Linked DNA regions of Schizosaccharomyces pombe. The protein of the gene in region 2 interacts with the protein of the main gene of each other region in a biochemical or structural test. Each region holds a gene or a part of one and is shown on either strand. Other genes may lie near its edges.

Region 1 (7,103 bases), 1.9 Mb from region 2:
TTTTTCTCTATGGCGTAGATATAATTTCGTATCAAGACTGTAGACTTGAAGTTTTAACCCAAGTTTTATCAGGTGTTAAATAGATCTCCCTTTTCTAACTTCTTAGTGCGTGCACATGCATGTGCATGTGTGTTAAACGATTTGAGTCTAAAATTGACAAGAGCGGCTTCGAAATATGATATCTAATAGCTCCATTGAGGATAGAATTAATAAAAATGAAGCATATATAGCCAAGTTTTTTGAAATGTGTGTGTAATTATAAGAATTTCTGTGTTTGTCGCCTGAAGTTTTAAAATTTAAAGTGAATGATTTATGAGTTTACTTACTAACTTTATTAGATTTTCTAAAAATGATAAAATTCGCTTCCATGGAGTCTCACTTGACCGAAAAGCACTTGACTCGTTTATGGTTAGAAACAATTTTAAAAAAAGGTTCGTATCTGGTATTAACCTACCCATTTTAATACGATTACATTTTTATAAGAAACTCTTTACCATTTTATGGCTAACAGTTAGAACGGTCGCTTTGTTATCTCATGCTAGAAACATACAATGTCTAATTCAGGAATCCGATGGCGATGCTAAAGACGTTGCTCGTTCCATTTATATTACTACGGCTGAGTTTCGGAATTATTTGTTGACTGAAAAAGGGTTTTACGTTACGACCAGGAGCATTTCACATTTTCGAGCAATATTAGACAGCATAAGATACCCTTTTGGAAAAGACCATGCTAGCAAGAACATGGAGCTTTTACCTATAGTAAGTTTTACATAAATTTTAAGCGGACTACTATGTAAGGGATCTTATCCAAAAGACGTATCTGCAATTTTTAGGGTTGATAATGTTATACCTTTGCATGTAGTTAAATTCAACGTTCGTTGATATAATATGCCAATGTTTAACACGTTTTCTTAATGATGCATACTAACCGACTACTTACTTAGACTTACGATCTCAGTTTTTGTACTGTTTTTCATGGTTATCTCACCAGTATACTGGAAGCTTATGAATTCTTTAGAGGTGTTTTCAAAAAGTATAAAGCTCCCTTGTCCTCTAACTTTATAGCAATAGGAAAGACCACGGACGAATCTAATTTCTCACAATTGCATCATTATTTCCAAAAGTTTGATGAAAGAATTCGTCGAATATTACATTTAATCTCTCAGGAGTTGGATGGATATTGTCGGATAGCGAAGCAGTAATTAATTTTATGTTCTTTTTATCAATTTTTATTCAGGATATGGGCTGCATTAAGTCGTACAACCATCTTTCATCTAATTTATTATATACTAATTTACATTGATTTGGCAAGTTCCTTAAAGAAAAGAGCCTTTCTCAATATGACAAGACTTTAGTTTGCGATTGTTTACCTTACACTTAACAGGTTTGTTTACATCAGCAAGTCCTTAATTGCTTTTCGCAAAAAAAGCTTTAAAAAAGCTATGAACTTTCAATTTATAAATTCAAATATAAACAATGAAGATAAATTGCCGATGGAGTCGTTGAAAAAGAAATTTTTAAAACAAAATCGTGAAATTATAAAGTAAGGTCAAAGTACACCATTTTTGAATCCCTTGTGGTAAATAATAAACATCTAACTTTCAGAATAAATACTCAGCTTTCTATAAAAATTAGAGAATCTGAAAACGAAATTCAAGATTTGATACAAGAAAATTTCACTTTGAAAAGTTATTTGGTTAAACTTGAAGCTCGATTTCGCAATCAATCTCAAACTGAGGACTTGTTAAAAAACTTCTTTCCTGAGATACAAACCATTCACAAAAAGATTTCACAAGTGCAAAGTTTACTGAAGATTATAGAGAAAAAGTGTTCATCAGATTTCCTCGAAGCGAATGTAAAAAGTCAATTTACAACCTGTGAAAATAAAGATTCGAAAGAAGATTATCAGATTTTGCATAATAAACGCTTGGAGTATGTATCATTTAATGATGAACTTAAAAGTCTCGAAACAGGGCAACCATTGTATTGTTTTCAAGATTTCCAAAAAAAAGTCCATGGTCCTCCGGCTCTATCTGAAAAACCTGGAAAATGTATATTAAAAGATAAAACCAATGCCCACGTAAACAAAATACCACAAGATGAGGTGAATTACTCATTGCCGCAAAAAAATATCACCATCTTTTCAAAGGAATTAAAAGAAAACGAATTTGAATCCATCAACGAGGGCGAAACTGAAGAAGAAAAGGCTAAAACATCAAATGTTTGTGTTTGTATTCCTTGTAAAAGTGCTGAACAGATAACTGACCTTAAAGGACAAGCAACCGGAGACAGCTCCCCATGTGATTTTGAAGAATCTCAACCAAGGATTAATGGACGTGAAAAACTAAGACGATCAGTCAAAGTGATAAACTATGCAATACCCAGTTTGCGAACTAAACTACGACGAGACTTTGACTTACCATCTGATAGAAAACGCAAACGACATCCCAGAGGCAAAGCATAAATTATATTGAGGTCACATTGTTAAATATTTTCACATTTATAGCACAGCTAATTTATAATTTAATCTACTGCAAGCAACATTTAAATTCAAGAGAAAAACAAAAAATAATAGAGGAAGAAAAAAAGAACCTAATCAAGGCTCATTTCTTTTACATAAACACATAATTAATCGGCCAATAAATACAAACCAACATTTAAACATAAGCTAAAAAAGTATGGAGACTTAGCCATTTAAGAAAAAGAAAAGAAAAAGGGCGTTAGATATTCTTTAAATAACCGTCATTAAAAAAAATCCAAATCAAAGCGTATTCGTATCGTTTCATATATATTTTTTATTTTGCTTTGGGTAAAACAAAAATCTCAAATAAGAGAGGAAAAAACCAAAAGGAAGGAATCTAAACTTCCCGGGAGCTTAATAGTAAGAACGGAAAACCTCCTCTTGGTTAACTTTGGGATGATCTGAAGGTCTAGGAGTAGCTTCGTAAATGGTTACAACAGGATCACCCTTGAAGGGAACAAAAGAACCACGAAGACCAATGTAGGCGATTTGTGTAGGATCATCAGAACCGTCGCTTTTGGTGAAGAAGATATTGAGATTTTGAAGGTTTTGATAGAGACGAGTCTTAACAGGAAACTCGAAGATATGGCTTCCTTCAAAAGTCAAGGGAAATTCAAATGTTTCAGTGGCTTGGACATCACCGATTGTGTCAAAATCCAAGTCGGTACGATTGGGAAAAAGTGAAAAGGAGTGTGGAGCGGTTTCATTAGGAAAAATGCGAACCAAAATTGATTTTAGTGTTGCCGCACCTGCAAACGGTACCTGAAACAAGAGTTGGTCATCAGCATCACTTTCTACGATATCAGTGTCATCATAACGAAGGTCCCAAGGTTTGAAGACGAGTTTTCCGGAATCTGGTACAGCTTCATTCAGCGTAACAATTGATTCCTTTCGGATGCAAGAATACAAGGTATCATTTGGACCAGACTCAAACGGATGTTCATCACAGTCAGCGGAACAATGGTGAGGGCCAGACATTTAGTACAAACTTCTAAGGAAATCGTTAAAAATGCAAGACTAGGCGAGTTGATAGGTGAATAAATAAACGGTAAACTCGCTAACAAAAAGTAAAAGGGAAAGTTATTTGCGAGCACACTAAGACGTAAGACCGACACTCGGAAGCAAATACTCAAACAAAACAACTAATAGGAAGAAAACCAAAAGCGGAAAAATATGGCGAAAAAGCCTCCCGAGACCAGAAGTACGTTATGCGTTAAAATATTTTTCTTAGAAGCTTTACTAGTCTTCAGCAAAAGAAAAACAAAAATGGAATCAAAATCAGAATTCAAAACTGAAAAGAAAGAATATAAAAGTAGTTTTTTAACGATGAATTATTTTATTGCTTTTTAAAAAATTTTGATTTTGAGACAATAACCGAAAACTCACTTTTGTACCAAAGAAACGTTGACAGTATAAGCAAACAACCTCCTTACTGACTTTTAAACACCAACTTGAAAATATTCGATGAATAGTATGAATACCAGAATTTTAAAAAATAAATAAAAGAAAATCTATACATAAATATAAAGGGGCCTTTTTGTTTTTTTTTTGGTTTTCTCGCAAAAAAAAGTTATTCAGTCGTAAATTTCTACGTGGTAGATGAAAGAAAGTGTAGAAATTTCAACGTTAAATTAGCGAGACTTTTGTAGCACTGTATGAGGAACAGAATTTCAAGGCATACGAACAACTAAGCTAAAAGGCCCATGAAAAAGACAACACCAAAGTTCTTCCTTGGTAACATTGTTTCTATCCAGGCGGGTAGGATGTGGGCCGTGTGGCGCTCATTGTAACAATATATATGTATAGGATTTTGATAAAAACCGGTTGCTTGAACATGCAAGAATAATGAACGGTGACACGTGACAAAGTTACAGCGCAGAAATACGGTGACAACCAAAGCAAGACCAAGGGAAAAGGTTCGCTATAGATGTGAAACAAGTCATGGAAAGAAGGGTGGGGGAGGGCAAGCCAAGGCTGGGGGTAGCGTAAAAGTATAACTTTGTATAATTTTACATTGAAGAAAGAAATGGCACGCCATATGTAACGTGTTTTCTTTTCCATGGTGAATGTTTATTAAGAGAAACATGGATATGCGTACATTCGGGATTACATTGGTGTGGGAGGATTGAACATTATGGATTTGATTATTTAGAGAAAAAAAAAAAAAAAAAGAAAGAAAGAGAACGTACTATTTTTTGGTTGACTTTTATATTCCTAAGGTTTACTCCTAATGTCGCTACGGACATGAATCCGTGCAAAAGGACCTGAACCGCTGTTAACCCTTGCCTTAACCGTGTCTCGCCCCTGTTGTTGATATTTTTATGCGACTGAAAAATGCCTCACTGGTTCAACAAAGCATGAAAGGATTAGAAATTTTTAATGAGAAAATCGATGTTGAATAAAAATGACCAAAGAAGTGTTCTTGCATTTTCTTTCTCTACTTTTTTTTATTTTTCTAATTTTTCATCCTTGAAAAAAAAATACAAACGAGAATGATCTGCATCTTGATATCTTTAGCGAATATCCTGATTTTTGCATAACTGGCTTTTTTTTCTCTACGCTTCTCTTTGTCCCGCTGCACTGGATAGTACTAGATACATATGGAATAGGGTGTTTATACAAGATTCTGGAAAAAGTAGTAAATAAATGTCCCAAAAAGGAGAAACTTGACAGAAAAATAAAAACAAAGAAAAACAAGGAAGACATGGGAAAAAGTGGGAAAGGAGTTTTGATTTGAATACGCCTTACCTACTTAGAGCCAAAAAAAGAAAAAGAACTTGAAAAAAATTTTTCTTGAGAAGCCGTACATACGATATTTTCTATTTTTTTATTTTATTTTTTTTTTCGTTCTCGAGTTTAATTACTAAACCATCTTATTCTATTTTTACTCGTTTGTTGGAATGCGATTTTTCTAGCACATAACCGAAACACGCAGCGTTCGTTATCTGATCAAAGGAAAATCATTGAAAACATAGTATGCAAAAAAGACCCTCATGGGTTTGTAAACAAGATTCATACGTCCTTTAATAATCGATTTCATGAAATGAATGAATTCCAGTAGTAGGTTAAAATTTTTCCAAAAGATTCTGATGCGTTTAGCACTATTGTATTCTGCATATAGCAAAGCACATGGATGTATGTAGGATGGATACATGTGGGATGGGTACGTGAAAATGTGGGATAGATGTACCTATGTGGGATGTTTTGCATACCTACAGAGGAAGCACAGGTGGGATCGGATCCAGTAGCTACTACAGTTGGTGATTGTTACTGTTGGCAGAGTGTTGCATCCTAGCTCTTTGCTGAGGAGTTATTGCTTCGTGGCAAACTACAGAGTAACACGTGCTAGATCCCGCGAACGTTAGATTCAAAGATCCCAAACACTTACAACAAGGTTACATGAGTATAAGTAAATGGTACGTGAATTCTACGTTACCGGTCGAGGCAGAAAGTTGCTTCCGACCGTCTTCAGAATCAAGTCATTCCATGGAATTGTAAGACAATGTGTGAAACAACAACGAGATTTCACTTCTTTTTTAGCTAGTTCTCCCGCTATGGGTGTCGCACAAGGACAACAGGTAAAATTAATTTTGATGCTACTCATTGAGACATGGGAAACAAAACATCAATCATGCCACAGTCATTTCATTTTATTAGAATTCACTCATCTTTTTGTACGCAAGTTTTCGCAAATATTTTTCGAGTTCCGGTTGTTTGCTCACCTACTATCATAAATACAATGTATAATCAATAAACGATTCGCACTTTGTCGTTAGAAATCGAAAAAAAATAAATAAATAAATAAATAGATATATAAAAGTAAAACCATTCTCTAATAGTGAAATATATTTATATCTCTATCATGTGTAAATTTTGTTTTATTATTTTTTCTCTTTTTATTTTTACTTCTCTAGTTCTCTATTATTGAATTCCATTTATTTTATTCTATTTTATTATAATTTAAACTAATTTCTTTTTTTTCTCATTCATTCCCAACCGTCAGTTTAATTTTTCATCCCTGCCCTGCACATCTTTATACATGCTATATTTCGACCCCACCTATCGCCTTAAATCTCTCGTTGAAAAAAAGTCATCATCACCATGGTTCTCCATTTTGCTCCGCTACTGACTGCATCGGTGCCTCTTTTTACAGTCCAAAGATGTGCGATCAGCATCATGTTGTTGTGAGCTGGCGTACAACTGTCTTCTCACATGTATTTTTGGGGTTTAAAGGCGGAGAATATGATGCGAAAGGTCGCTTAAAGTGAGTAGAAGAGTATTCGAGAATTAAAATGAAAAAATAAAAAATGTAGTGTGTTTTTACTATTGTATATGACACCCCGGCTGAGCTAGCGTTTGTGTGTGCATTTAGTATGCGAGTTAGTACACACAGTGTTTTTCTCGGTTTCCCACTTCCGACTCAAATCCCCCACATCAGTCGTTCTGCTTTCTTCTCTTGTGTGTTGTAATCAAATTATGAAGAGGTAACATTGTACGCAACTCACGCAATGTATTAGCATATGCAGTCGGTCGGATGTGCATTATGAGATCAAACACAGTGTATGCTGTTTTCTTAACGTAT
Region 2 (7,529 bases):
TTGGTGGTACAACAGTAGTAGTGTTGACATGAGTTGTTGGTGGTACAACAGTAGTAGTGCTGTTAACATGAGTTGTTGGTGGTGCAGTAGTAGTAGTAGTATTCAAGCTAGTTGTAGGAGGTACAGTGGTCGTAGTGTTCATGCTAGTTGTAGGTGGCACAGTGGTAGTGGTAGAGTTATGGCTAGTCGAAGGGGGAGGTACAATCGAAGTAATGTTCGTGCTTGTTACGCTGTGGGTGGAAGTCTCAGTACTTGCACTGCTAAAGGAAGTAGTCGTAACATTAGCACTTGGTAAAGGAGTAGGCGTTACAGTTGTAGCAACGTCTGTCGTAAAACCAGGAGTATACTCCGTTTGTGCCATTACGGCTGTGACAAGCAACAGAAATTTGCAAAGGACAGAGAACTGCATCTTCTTATTAAATGATTAATGAATTAAAAAATAGAAGGATAAAAAATGCTAAAGAGTGCCTCAAATACAAGTTCCAAAAGACCAATTATATTTTCCTGGCTTTTATTTGCAAGCAAGCGAAATCGGATTAATGTCTCAATTTCAGTAGCACAAATCGAGAGAACGAATACCTCGATATATAGGTCAAATTTTTACTGACAAATTCTTACAAAATGCAATTCGGTAGACAAAATGACGGGTGAGTGATCCCATTGAAAATAAATTGTTCAATCAACACATAATAGTCCCCTAATAGTCATATATGACATTTCTATCAATTCAAATACGAGCGTCATTCCATTTTTTCACATAACGAAATGAATGCACAACTTACCTGTGGAAATGAATTAACGATGAGCAGACTTTGGGACTGCATATGATGAAACATAATAACAATTCAAGATAATATTTGAAATTAAATAAAGCTATTCACCGTTATTCCCTAAATGCGAAGTATCTAATGTGCAGTTTTACCTTTAATGTAATGGTTAGGTATTGAAACAGTAGTAGAAACGTGACATAAGGGATGCGTCGCAAAGCAGTCAACTCCTTTGTCGGATTATCAGAAGATGATTAAAATTCATTCTTTGATAATTGCATTAAGCTCCAACGCAGGTCTAAATTTTTTTTACTAAGAAATGGTAGCTCCTTAGTTCGGGCAATTTTTATCCAACAAGACGTTTCTGCAGTGGACGTTCTATTACCTTTTGGTAACGCGACAAATACAAAAAAAAAGAAACAGAAATTATAATCCTAATTACAAATTTGCAATCATGTATATATACTTTCCGCTACTTCAATTTAGAACAATACTAGAACATTTCTAATCTAAAAAATACGAATTTAACATAATCGAAATAGAAAAATAAATGTATCGGGCGCTGAATTTCAACAATCCAGTTTGTTTTATTAATAGCAAAGAACTGGAAATCAAGCATTAGTACATAAAAATTGTAGTCATTTAACTTCAAGTCATTTAAGCGGTCATTTCAATGTCCTCCGTATTTTTTTTTAAAATAACAATACCTTCCAACGAAGTCAAAGGTGTATATGCTTCCGTCGCTAGTTCAGCTCGCTCATTGTGATGCAACAAAACTGGTGTAGTATGTGTGACCCAACCCGTAATGACCTTGGGACGACCAGCTTGACCGACCACATCTACTGCTTGACCAACTCGAACGCTTACTGGTAAATATTGACCGTCCTCACCAAGGGTAATGAGCATTCGGGGTCGTATTGCTAACGTAATAGCATAAAGCAACCAATGCGAGGTATCAAGGACAAAGGTATTTGCATCTAGCATAGCTAATACAACAGTCATAAGACCAGCAAAAGCAGTTTGACCAAGAATCTGCCGTTCTGTATGATAAGGGTTAAGCGTCATTGTTCCTTTTCCTAAGTAAAGTAAACCTTGAGCGATACGAACCATGAATAGAGCGTTGGATTCTTTGTGATAATAACTGGCTAGTTGGCGGAGTAATTGAGCCAAACGCGCATTACTAGTACCAGCACCAACAAGACCCATTGCAAAGATTGCGTTGTAAGCAACATCCAAATCATTATCGTGACTATAGCGTGAAAGCGTGTCAAATATACGCATTTGAGGATTGGAAGCGGAAAGCAATCCTAATGCAAGTGGTATAGCTTTTCGAATAGAGGGTTCGCCATAATGCATCATGTGATCGAAATGTCTCAAAACCATTTCTGCTCCAATATCTTCACCCATAGCTATAGTAGCAACACCAAGTGCTGCAAATGTCTGGATAGTAGTCTCACTCTCCTTAGCATCATCACTGGGAGGTTCACTACAGATATGAAGCAATTTTTGGATGTGAAGAACGTTGCCAGTTCCAGCATACGAGCAAATATCCACCAAAATTTCAGCTTGTCGTGCAATTTTACCCTCAATAGCTTTCAGTGTTTCGACTGTAGCATCCGCAAGGTCTTGTTTACCATTAAAAAGAAGGGCAAGGCCAAGAGCCATAAAACGGCCCCATTGATCATTTTGGGCAGACTCTTCACGCTCCATTAGAGTTTGTAAAATTGTGCTAGCTACATCGCCGTTGCAAGTACCAACAAAAATAAGACCTAAAGATAATGCGGCTAAGCAGGATAATTGCATAGGGCAATCGGTATCCGTAACAATTGGAGATAACATGTCGAGTAAATCTTCGCGATTAGCTCCACTGTATGCAAGTCCTAAACCTAAAATCGCTGATGCACGAAGCTTTACGGAGCCAGTTTCAAGGTATTCAGAAAGAATTGCCATAGCTGGATCAGCTTCATTTCTTACTGCAACATTTGTAACACCAATTCCCAACAATGCACCAGCCTTGGTATTCTCCTCAGAAGAGTATAAATACTTATCCAACAAAGACAATCCCATGTCAACATTCCATAATTGTAATAGGCCAATAGAAGCTGTAGCACTTATTAAACCAGATTCTTTATTTTTATAAATCCAAGACGTTTTTTCGTCATCGACCAAAATTAATCTGTCGTTACTGTATCCGGCATTGACAAGGGCATTGACAAAAGTGTTAGCTAAATTTTGTTTGGCGGAATACACTCCTGATGCACCCAATCCAGTCCTAGCCACTTCTAAATGTGTTTTAAAGATATCTTCCGGAACTTTAGGATCCATAAGGTTCAACTCCTTTCCTAGATAATGAAAGTGATCAGATAAATGAGTGTTATTTAAAGCATCGTTTAACTCCTCGTCTCCCATATCCATAGGTATTTGCTGACGAGCAAGCATGTAAGACATTTGCTTTTTCAACAAGGGATCCGTAGCAGCTTCACAGTCTTCTTTTATCAAAGACATATCATCAAGGCGGATAGCAACGTTAAGTGCTTGTGTAAGCTGGTCAAACTTCCGATAAATAGCATGCGCTGTTCTTAACATGGCGACATCTTCAGGAAATGGCAAAAGATTAACGCAACTGGTAATATAAAGACAAACGCGAGAAGCATTATCAAGTTCTACGAAGGGTACAACTTTTTCAATAGCACCCAATTCTTGTAATAAATCAATAGCATCAGCCTCAGCATTATGAGTAAGGAAGAATGGAACAATGGTCAATGCAAGTTCCATAAGATCGTCGGTTGGCGCTTCCTCTTCCTGGCGACTGGCAAACTCTTCTTCTATTTCGGAAGCCAAATGGCGAACATACTCATGACCCCATAAAGAAGGATCAGTGGTAACGCCCTGAAGACGATATTTTAATGATTCATGTTTGCTTGTATTACTATAGGACATTCCTAATACTGAAAGGATATCAGCAAGTTGAGTCTTCTGAGGGCTTTGCGGCCAGGAATCATAGATTTTAACGAGAGTAAAATAATGTGGTCTAAGAAACTTCAAAGGCTTTGGAACGGCCGTCATAGAGGAGGTAGAAGTACGAATTATTTCTTTAAGCTGAGTGAGACTGGAACCCACCAACTCAGGGGTGGCATCTTGAACAGCTTGAACTAATAATTCCAAATCATTTTTTAATTGTAAATCTTCTTCAGACTATTTGGTTAGTTTTCATTTTGAAAAATAATAGGGCTTTAACTTACTAAATCCTCTAATTCATCCCTTTCTTTGGTATTGTTCGTTGAGTTTCTGTCATTAGTTTCTGAAGTCTTTGTCCCTTTTTTGTCATTTAATGCATCATTACCACTCGGGGACTTCGAACTAATGTCTTTAGAACTCATTTTCTAGATTCCTAAGATTTTCTGAAACTGAGTAGTAATGTGTTGTCGTTGAAACTACTCTCACCCTAGTCAGAACCAGTATACCGATTGTTTACGTATTTGATTATTTATCACGTTAATTAGATTTAACAACACGCTATGCTTTCTTTATGGATCAGTACAAATGAAAAAATAATCTATTATTTAAGTTCGTCAATGTATTACCATTATTACACGATGCTTGACATTATTATCTCATGCCTCTTTTCTTATAAGAATTGTTGTAAAATAACTCGTTATTGATTGACTCTTTATGTTTTCATTTGTTTAAATACGGACATATGAAACCGATTTATATCACTACACCTAATTACCATAGTTATAGCTTGATTTTTAATAACATGACACGCTCTAAGATTTTGAATTCTAAAATTAAAGGCTGTAATGGTCAAAGAATTTTCGAGTTTAAATTAACAAAAAAATGCAAATGATAAAATAATGAAAACAAACGAATAGTTTTATATAGTACATCCATAAACGTTGCCGACTAATTTTCCATCTTACACACATGAACACCATAAAAGCTTGTATAAGTATACTAAACCAGTATAGGCAAATTCAATGCCAACCGCGGGATCGAGTTGTATCAGTAAAAGATTCATTGCTTTCACTTCCTTGAAACATTGTACGTAAATGATAATAATTTTCATGAGTTTCATGGTCTTCCACTGAATCTTCATTAATCATAGAAACAGATTGATCTAACATGGAATTCCAATTTTTATTTTGTTTCAATTCTGCTGCACCTCGTATTTCGTCCAAAGATAAACGATGTTCCGCCGAATTACCAAGTGCCTTTAAAGAAGGATAATAAGATTCAGCATCCATAAAGTAATGAGGTTTTAATTTAGAGATAAAAGACGACTTTCTTACTCTCACCGGCGGCATGTCCATCGGCAATTTTGCTGATGCATCAATTTCTTCGTTCGGTGAATAATCTCTGAAGGATTCTGTTTCATAAGCCATAAGACCTTGTTTCTGCCGTCTAAGGCTACCTGAAAGAATCGTAGCTATCCGATCGTCATAATCTTCCGATGTAATATCTAATTTTGGATCAACGGCGACATCAGGCTGAATTAACTCTTCATCCCTATCTTCAGCGAAGAAGACATCGAGGCTATGAAGAGTTGTAACTAGCTCTCCTAGTGAATTTTCGTCAAGCGAACCATGACTGTCAGTAGGAACGTGTCGCGGATAATTGGATACTTCATCAGCATGAAATCTAACCTCTGGCGTACTCACAGAAGCCTCGGTAGTGGAACAGCTATAAAATACGGCATGTACGTTGCTTTTAGTTATAGCAGCTGCATATTCAGAGTTTGGTTCATACCATCCATCCTCGTCAGGTATTTCAAAAAATCCAGCCAGACGATCATCTGAATTTTTTAATTTAGGGTCAACCATTAATAACTTTAAGGTTTGCATATCTGTGGGAGCAGATACATGAAGCACTGAGTCGGTTAGCAAAGACAACGCTTCCATTGCATAACCAGTAGGTAAGAGTCGAAGAAGCGGTGAAACAATACCTAATCCATGTTCGGAATATATAGGTTTTTGGAAATCAATTAATGGAAAGAGTTCTTTTAACACATCTAACGTAGACTTTCTAAACCAAGTCAAATTATTTGATAGAAACATCGTAAGAGTACTAACAATTTCTAGCTCGTAATCTTCAAAATAATAGGAGTATAGGTATGAAACCGTATGTTTTAAAAAATCCTTAATTGACCTGAATTTACGTTTGAGATATGTGTCAAGAAGCTCAATCAATGCATCATCGTTAAATTGTGAAGCAAGAGTAGCTAATTTATGACAGAAAACACTTAAATCAAAAGTAATAGGATCTGAATGCTCGTATGTATATACCATCGCTGGTAATGACACCAACAAGCAGGATAGTATCCTCAAATAACCAACGCCAACCAAATCATTATCCTTGAAATCCATCAGCAAAAGGAAAAAATTCATGGTAATTTCAAAAGAATTAGTTGAACGGAAACCTTTTAATATTAAAATCTGAAGACCTTGGTAATCTCCAACCCAGTTTTGGGGAAATGTCTCCATAATTTGTTGGGTAGCAGAGTCCGTCTCCTCCACTCTCAGAAAGTAAGCATATGCAATTTTCACAGATTCAATAAATTCATCCTCATGGATTGTAGTCAAACACGCAATGGCTGTCCATAATATTTGAGAATAACTTAGTAAATCATCGGAGTTCATAACTAAAACATAGGAATTAAAAGTTCGCAATATTTCAACGGAATAATCACGTAAATAGCTCGTTTCATCTGATATTGTACCAACTAGACGAGAAATAATCTCAAGAAGCATTCGTGCATCAAAATCTGGAAGCAAAGAACGAAACAACTGGAATGAATTACAAGCCAAACGTCGAGAAGGACAAGTCGTAGCCCACGATAAAGCAACCTCACCCCATATTTGTTTAAGCTCAGGATATGATGAACTCAATAACTCAATTGTCTTCAAAATCATGTTATGATATTTAACCAAATCATCCTCCTTCTTGGTTTTACCACGAAGGCCCGTTATTAGTGAGCTTTCTACATTGAAATCAAAATAAGCGTCGTCATAATCTAACCTTCCTTCCATAGCTAGAACTTTTCGTACAACATACTGAAAAATCTGCTGGCATTGCTCTTGGACTATGCGAGAATAATGATCAAATTGTATAAAAGCAGCATGGAGTATTGTAGCCACATCATCAGTAACTGTGATTATAGAAGGATTTGGAAGAATATCCATCAATAATAGTAAAGATAACTGGCACGGGGAGTAGGAAATATGATTTTTTTCACTGGGAAACAAATCCTCTAAATTTGCAACATAAGTTGAAGATAAATCCTCAAGACTAAATTTATAAACCTCTTGGTTTTCATTCGATACATTAGCAGGACAAACAAAAGACAGAAGGGTAGAGTAAAGATCAGAAAGAAGTTCTGTTTTCGCGAGATAAATAGTAATCTGTCTTGTACAGTCAACAAAAGAAAAAGTTTTCCTTTGGTAACACTGTTGCATTAAAAAAAATAAGATTACGGTCCAGTTCGACTTGTGACGCGAAAGAGCTAACGAGGTCCATAAAGCCTCAATTTCGTTAGGTAAATCATTAGTAAACTTTGCAGTGACTTCAATCAAATCAATTAGAATTACCGCCGTAAAAGAATCGAAAGTTTTGTTTTCAACATCCATCTTTAGCTCCAAATTTTGTAGCCACGGAAGTAAAACCGTCACCAGTCCACGTCTATGTTGATGACCATAATTGAAATAACGTAAACATTCTGAAGTTAAAGTGAATGAATCTTCAGTAAAATCGCTAGCAAGCTGT
Region 3 (5,463 bases), on a different chromosome or scaffold from region 2:
GATATTCCTTTGATTAGAAAAGCCTCTGCTATTGCCTTGGTTTTTTCGGCTGCTCCATTTTGCAGGATAGCTGGATATCGTATACTAGCCCACATGTATGCTACTATTAATTTGTGAAGCTGCTCTAGTTGTTGTAACTCGGTTTCAGTGGTTGGAATTCCGCGTTCTAATATTTCCAAAGGTACAGACTTCAAATCATATATTTGCAGACGTTTTCCTTGAGCGATAACACATCCGATTTCCCGAATAAATAGTGGTGCGTATTTAGAATGCTTTAACACTGGGCACCCTAACAATTTGATTTTATCTTTAATGGTTAAACCTTTTATGTGGTCTAAATATTCAATAATGAATGTGCTTAGTGCTCCTTCCGACACAACAAATGGAGTAGTCGTTTTCGCTAACTTAAAGTAACGATCGAAAATTAGCTTTTGAGGAATGTCATCAGAGAATAGTGATAAATATCTAAAGAATAAATCGTCCTTAGCTCCAATACAAGCATTGAATAAGTTCTTTGTAGGAAGATTCATGGCGCGATTTAATTTCGCAAAATCTTTTTGATATAGGGTAGTTACTATTCCAGCACTTTGCTTAGATCCATTGGGATTATGTCGGCCAGCTCTTCCTGCTATCTGCTTAATTTGTGGTACAGGGATGTCTATAGTGGAAACTCCACTAAACTTTTTTAAATCGCTGAAAACAATACGCTTTACGCCTAAGTTGAGACCCATACCAATGGCATCGGAGGCCAGCAAAATATTTTCATCAGAACTCTTTGAATTAAATAAGCTTGCTTGTTGATTACGGACTTCAGGAGGCAGTGAACCATAAATAACGGCAGATTTTTTTCCTAATGCTTGATCAATTTTAGACTTCAAAGTAAAAATGTTTTTCCTTGAAAAAGCCACAACACAATCCCCGTCTTTGAGTTCACTTAACTTTCCATTTAAGCTCTTTTCTGCAACGTGGAGAGGATTTAACCGTTCGTATCTGTAAACAGTAAAATCATCTTGGGTCATTTTAGCAATTGAACGCACTAATTTAACAACACTTTCTTCTCCGCATAAATGAATTTCCTTAGCCTGCAAGCCAAGCAAGCATTGAGTCCAAGCATATCCCCGTGAAGGATCAGCCATCATTTGGATTTCATCAATGACTGCAACATCAAAAGTAGTAGATAAGTTGCACATTTCTACAGTACATGAAACAACCTGAGGGAAAGGATAATCATTTCTAATCTCTTCCCCTGTGTAAAGATTACAAGCTATTCCGTTTGCTTGCAAGCGATTATAGATTTCGTGAGCCAAAAGTCTTAAAGGGCCAGCAAATATACCTTTCTTGCAAGTCTTAAGTCTTTCTAAAGCCCTATGTGTTTTCCCGCTATTCGTTGGGCCGACATGCATAATGATATGCCTTCTGAGTTTTCTCGCTCCTGGATACCACTCAATTGGATTTTTTAAATCTGTTAATTGCTTTTGTAAGTCAGGTCTTGTTTCTTCTATTCGCTCTTGATATCGTACATACTTCCGATACTCTGAGAGTAAACAATCATGGATCTTTTTTATTTTCTGAAGGTCAAAAGTAGAAGAAGATTTTGAAAGAGCCAATGATTTATCAGAGTTTTTTAAGTCAGAAAATCCTAAATCTGTAAGGATATTCTTTTTTAACTCATAATAGTATACATTCTGAAAGACACTGGCATCCTTGCAGACATTGACAAAGTCTTGGGCTAAGTATGCTTGTTTTGACGAAAGTTCTTTGGAAGCAAATAAATATGCAGTGAAGCGATTGAGGGCAGCAGCCCACAAGGTATTTCCTGGGAATTTCCTTTGTTGAAAAACATCCTTTGATAAAGTGTGAATTCTAGCAGACTTGCTAAAAAACGGTACACAAAACGTTACGCCATGAATCAAAGTTTCCAAAAACATTCCTGGCGAGTTAAAATCTTTCTAGCAATGCTCTATTGCTGGCCGCCCTGTAACCAGAGCAAAACTTAATCCAAGTATTTAAAGTAATTTAAAAACAAGAAATGTTTATATAGAAAATTAAATACTTCTCAAACGTCTGAAGGTCCCTGGCTTTATCGCTTTTAAAAATATTACCTTCTATTAATTAAAAAAGGAAAAAAAAAGTAATAATTTGACTACGAGATTCAGTCAAGTTGCCTGCTGAGGCCTCTAATATGTTATACCAACAGCTCTGCATGTATCTCCAAAAAATTAGTATCTCAGCAGTACCCTTTAAATTCCAGTTTTCCGCTTCAGTAAATATATAAAATTTTTTAAAAAGCGTTTATTACCTACACTTGTATTATAACAATTTCACGCATTTGGTGTTGGCTTTCGATTATTTACGCGTGCTGTAAGAAATTAGAGAACCTGTGGATTCGAACAGGAAATGAATTGTGTATCACCATGTTTTTCGATGTTTCATTTTGTGATGCGTTACATATCGTTATCCGAGAATGACTAGAGAAGGTGAGTAGTAATACCTTGTCTAGTTCACTTTGCAACACATCTTCTGTAATCTACCAAGCGTTCTTTCAAATTTCTTCGCATTAAGTTTTAAATTATAGGTCTTCAAGATGGTGTTAGAAGCAACGATGATTCTGTAAGAATTTATTTTTGTTAAATTATTGCTCTAACATGGCAGAATTGATAATTCAGAATGGATGATTAATGGTGATTATATACCTACGAGGTTTGAAGCTCAAAAGGATACTGTACATATGATTTTCAATCAAAAGATCAATGATAATCCGGAGAACATGTGTGGTTTAATGACAATTGGTGATAATAGGTATATGATTAATATTACGGCTTGAACGGTACTTTATGTTCAGCTATAAAATACTTTACAGAAATTCTAATCATATTAGTCCCCAAGTTCTTTCTACATTAACCAGAGATTATGGTAAATTCTTATCTGCAATGCACGACCTGCCTGTCCGAGGAAACGCAAAGTTTGGCGATGGTATACAGATTGCGCAGTTAGCCTTAAAGCATAGAGAAAACAAAATTCAACGTCAAAGAATTGTTGCATTTGTAGGTTCTCCTATTGTTGAGGACGAGAAAAATCTTATTCGTCTAGCCAAGCGTATGAAAAAGAATAATGTTGCTATTGATATCATTCACATTGGTGAGCTTCAGAATGAATCAGCTTTGCAGCATTTCATTGACGCTGCTAATTCAAGTGACAGTTGGTAAGTCTACGGATTTTTCGGACATTTTTGGCTTCTTTTTTTTACTAGTATTAACAATTTTAGTCATCTTGTCAGCATTCCACCTAGCCCGCAGTTACTTTCAGATTTGGTAAATCAATCCCCTATTGGACAAGGTGTAGTTGCTTCTCAAAACCAATTTGAGTATGGAGTCGATCCTAATCTTGACGTTGAATTGGCGTTAGCCTTGGAACTTTCAATGGCGGAGGAACGAGCACGTCAAGAAGTTGCTGCTCAAAAATCATCTGAAGAAACTGAGGATAAAAAAATGCAAGAATGATCCGAAGATGTCTACGATTCCTTATCCTTATGAAAGACAAATTAACGTTCTTGTACTTTACTAGCCATGCTTTATGCAGCAACGTTTAAATTAGATTGAATCCTAAAAATCATGATTTTTCAAAATATATCCAAAATAATAAATTGGCAGCATTTTGTTTCATTTTCGTAATTAGCATTGTAGAAAAGGTTAGCGCATTCTAGAAACACATTACTAGAAGGAAAGGTATTAATCTACAATCAAGGTAGCGTTAGTGGCATCCAATAATAAAAACGCCCCTAATATACGTGTCTGACTAGCTGTTTACCTTTCTTAATTTCAACATATACATAAACCAAAACAATTGTTTTCTTCAACTATCTATTATGACCAATAAAATGCAGACCCTTTACCCAAAATTTACTTGATCGCAATATAAAAACACACTTATTTGATCGTCATAAAAGACAATCCATTCCTTGTGTTTTCAACAGCAGATATATATTTCATATTTTCTTCATCAGTCCATTTTACTGATAGCTCATCCCATTTTTTGGTCTGGTATTCTTTTCTAAATTGTTGGCGAATAGCGTTTAATTTTGACATTTCGATGGGATTTCCAGTACCAGTATACAAAAGCAATAGAGAACCTTTTGGTAAGGAGTCGTATAAAAGACGAATTCTTCGATTAAAACGCTCTAAAGCAGAAGAATAGCTAGTTACTTGGTCCTCTTCTACCGAATCATTCTCTGTATCAGTATCAGAGTTGTTTTCTTGTTTTGTATTTCGATTAGCGTTCCACATAGCCGCATGCTCCAATTCGCGAAAACGACCCCACACGAAGTTATGCATGTCTGAAAGACTTACAACAGCGCTTACGACTTCATCATCATTCGCACAAGAAACGCTTTTATGAGCCGCTTTGCCAATGCACGACTCCGGATTACCATAGTCGGCAATTGCACCAATCAATGGAGTTGGCTGCTGTCGTGACAATCTATGAAAGATTGACTCAAAGTCTTGGTTAAACAACCCAAAGGCAGGTCCATTCTTAACTTTCAACTTTAGAAGATCCACACAAGCAAGAGCATCTTCTGCAGAATCGTGCCCCAGAGCTCCCGCTTTTTGTATCTCACGCCTCAACCACTTCGTTGCAAGCCATTTAAGCGATGGTTTTGAAGGGGGACCACGAGTGTGATTATAAATGTTTGCCGTATCAATGATATGAGGGTGTGTAAATTTTAAGCAATTAAGATCAGAATTTAGACTATGGCCTAAAAGAACGGTATTGTTGTCCACAGTCTTTTTTAAGTAAGATTGAACATCGGAAAGAACAGTAGTAACATTTCTCAGTTTTTCTTCAGTTATGCCAGAATACTGGGTAACATAATCAGTGACGGGTGATTCTGGTTTTACAAATTCGTCGTAAATAACCTCACTTTTCATGTCTACAATAGTTACTCTGGCTATTTCTAACCCGTTCTCAGTCCGCACCATTTCGCAATCAATAGCAAGAATTTTGGGATTTATAGGAGGAGAATGAAAATCTCCTGCAGAAGCAACCCATCCTGAAGGCTGAGTAACCTCTTCACCCTTCATGACAGTAGGATGTAATGGGTATTCGTCTTCAATGAAAGATTCATAACTCATTAAGTAATCAGATGGTTTGGAAAAACTAGCCATAGCACGTGTTTCTTTATCTCTTTTCTTCTTTTGTTCATTACTCAGAGGAGATTGCAAAAAGGCATTCACCGGAGAAAAGACACGAAATCGATCTCCAGGAGATCTCGTAGGCCATGCGCGATCAAACACTTCACAAAAATCAGGTAATTGAATGGGGCCATTTTCATTTAGCAAATTCGGCAGCAAAAATGAGTGCTTGTTGCCGCGCACGGGTTGAAACCCAAATTGACTAGGCTCCAATCCAGGAACTAAAAGTATCACTGCTCTATGAATCATTTGTTTATTTCTCACTAGAACCCAT

What was found.
Region 1: the proteins of mts4 (region 2) and txc1 form a complex in vitro, tested with the Schizosaccharomyces pombe proteins (one study listed by BioGRID).
Region 3: the proteins of mts4 (region 2) and rpn10 form a complex in vitro, tested with the Schizosaccharomyces pombe proteins (one study listed by BioGRID).

What each region holds. Positions count from the first base shown.
Region 1 is NC_003423.3:963,107-970,209, reverse strand, and holds txc1 (poteasome interacting protein Txc1), read right to left. Parts: upstream 3,931-7,103; 5' UTR 3,500-3,930; coding exon 2,876-3,499; 3' UTR 2,465-2,875; coding exon of another isoform or gene 1,606-2,464; 3' UTR 1,544-1,605; coding exon of another isoform or gene 1,443-1,543; 3' UTR 1,319-1,442; downstream 1-1,318. Other genes in the region: SPOM_SPBP35G2.04C (uncharacterized protein), read left to right, coding at 176-246, 339-759, 945-1,202; shugoshin Sgo1, read left to right, coding at 1,443-1,543, 1,606-2,464; SPOM_SPBP35G2.17 (uncharacterized protein), read left to right, coding at 5,935-6,255.
Region 2 is NC_003423.3:2,849,906-2,857,434, forward strand, and holds mts4 (19S proteasome regulatory subunit Rpn1/Mts4), read right to left. Parts: upstream 4,198-7,529; 5' UTR 4,148-4,197; coding exon 4,010-4,147; exon of another isoform or gene 3,963-4,009; coding exon 1,425-3,962; 3' UTR 1,216-1,424; downstream 1-1,215. Other genes in the region: SPOM_SPBP19A11.02C (uncharacterized protein), read right to left, coding at 1-409; morphogenesis protein Mor2, read right to left, coding at 4,745-7,529. UniProt on the Schizosaccharomyces pombe protein: Acts as a regulatory subunit of the 26 proteasome which is involved in the ATP-dependent degradation of ubiquitinated proteins.
Region 3 is NC_003424.3:4,555,758-4,561,220, reverse strand, and holds rpn10 (19S proteasome regulatory subunit Rpn10), read left to right. Parts: upstream 1-2,524; 5' UTR 2,525-2,584; coding exon 2,585-2,610; intron 2,611-2,652; coding exon 2,653-2,799; intron 2,800-2,856; exon of another isoform or gene 2,857-2,878; coding exon 2,879-3,202; exon of another isoform or gene 3,203-3,265; coding exon 3,266-3,500; 3' UTR 3,501-3,670; downstream 3,671-5,463. Other genes in the region: ATP-dependent RNA helicase Rpm2, read right to left, coding at 1-1,928; rex1 (putative ribonuclease H70), read right to left, coding at 3,927-5,463. UniProt on the Schizosaccharomyces pombe protein: Protects ubiquitin chains against dissambly by deubiquitinating enzymes thereby promoting protein degradation.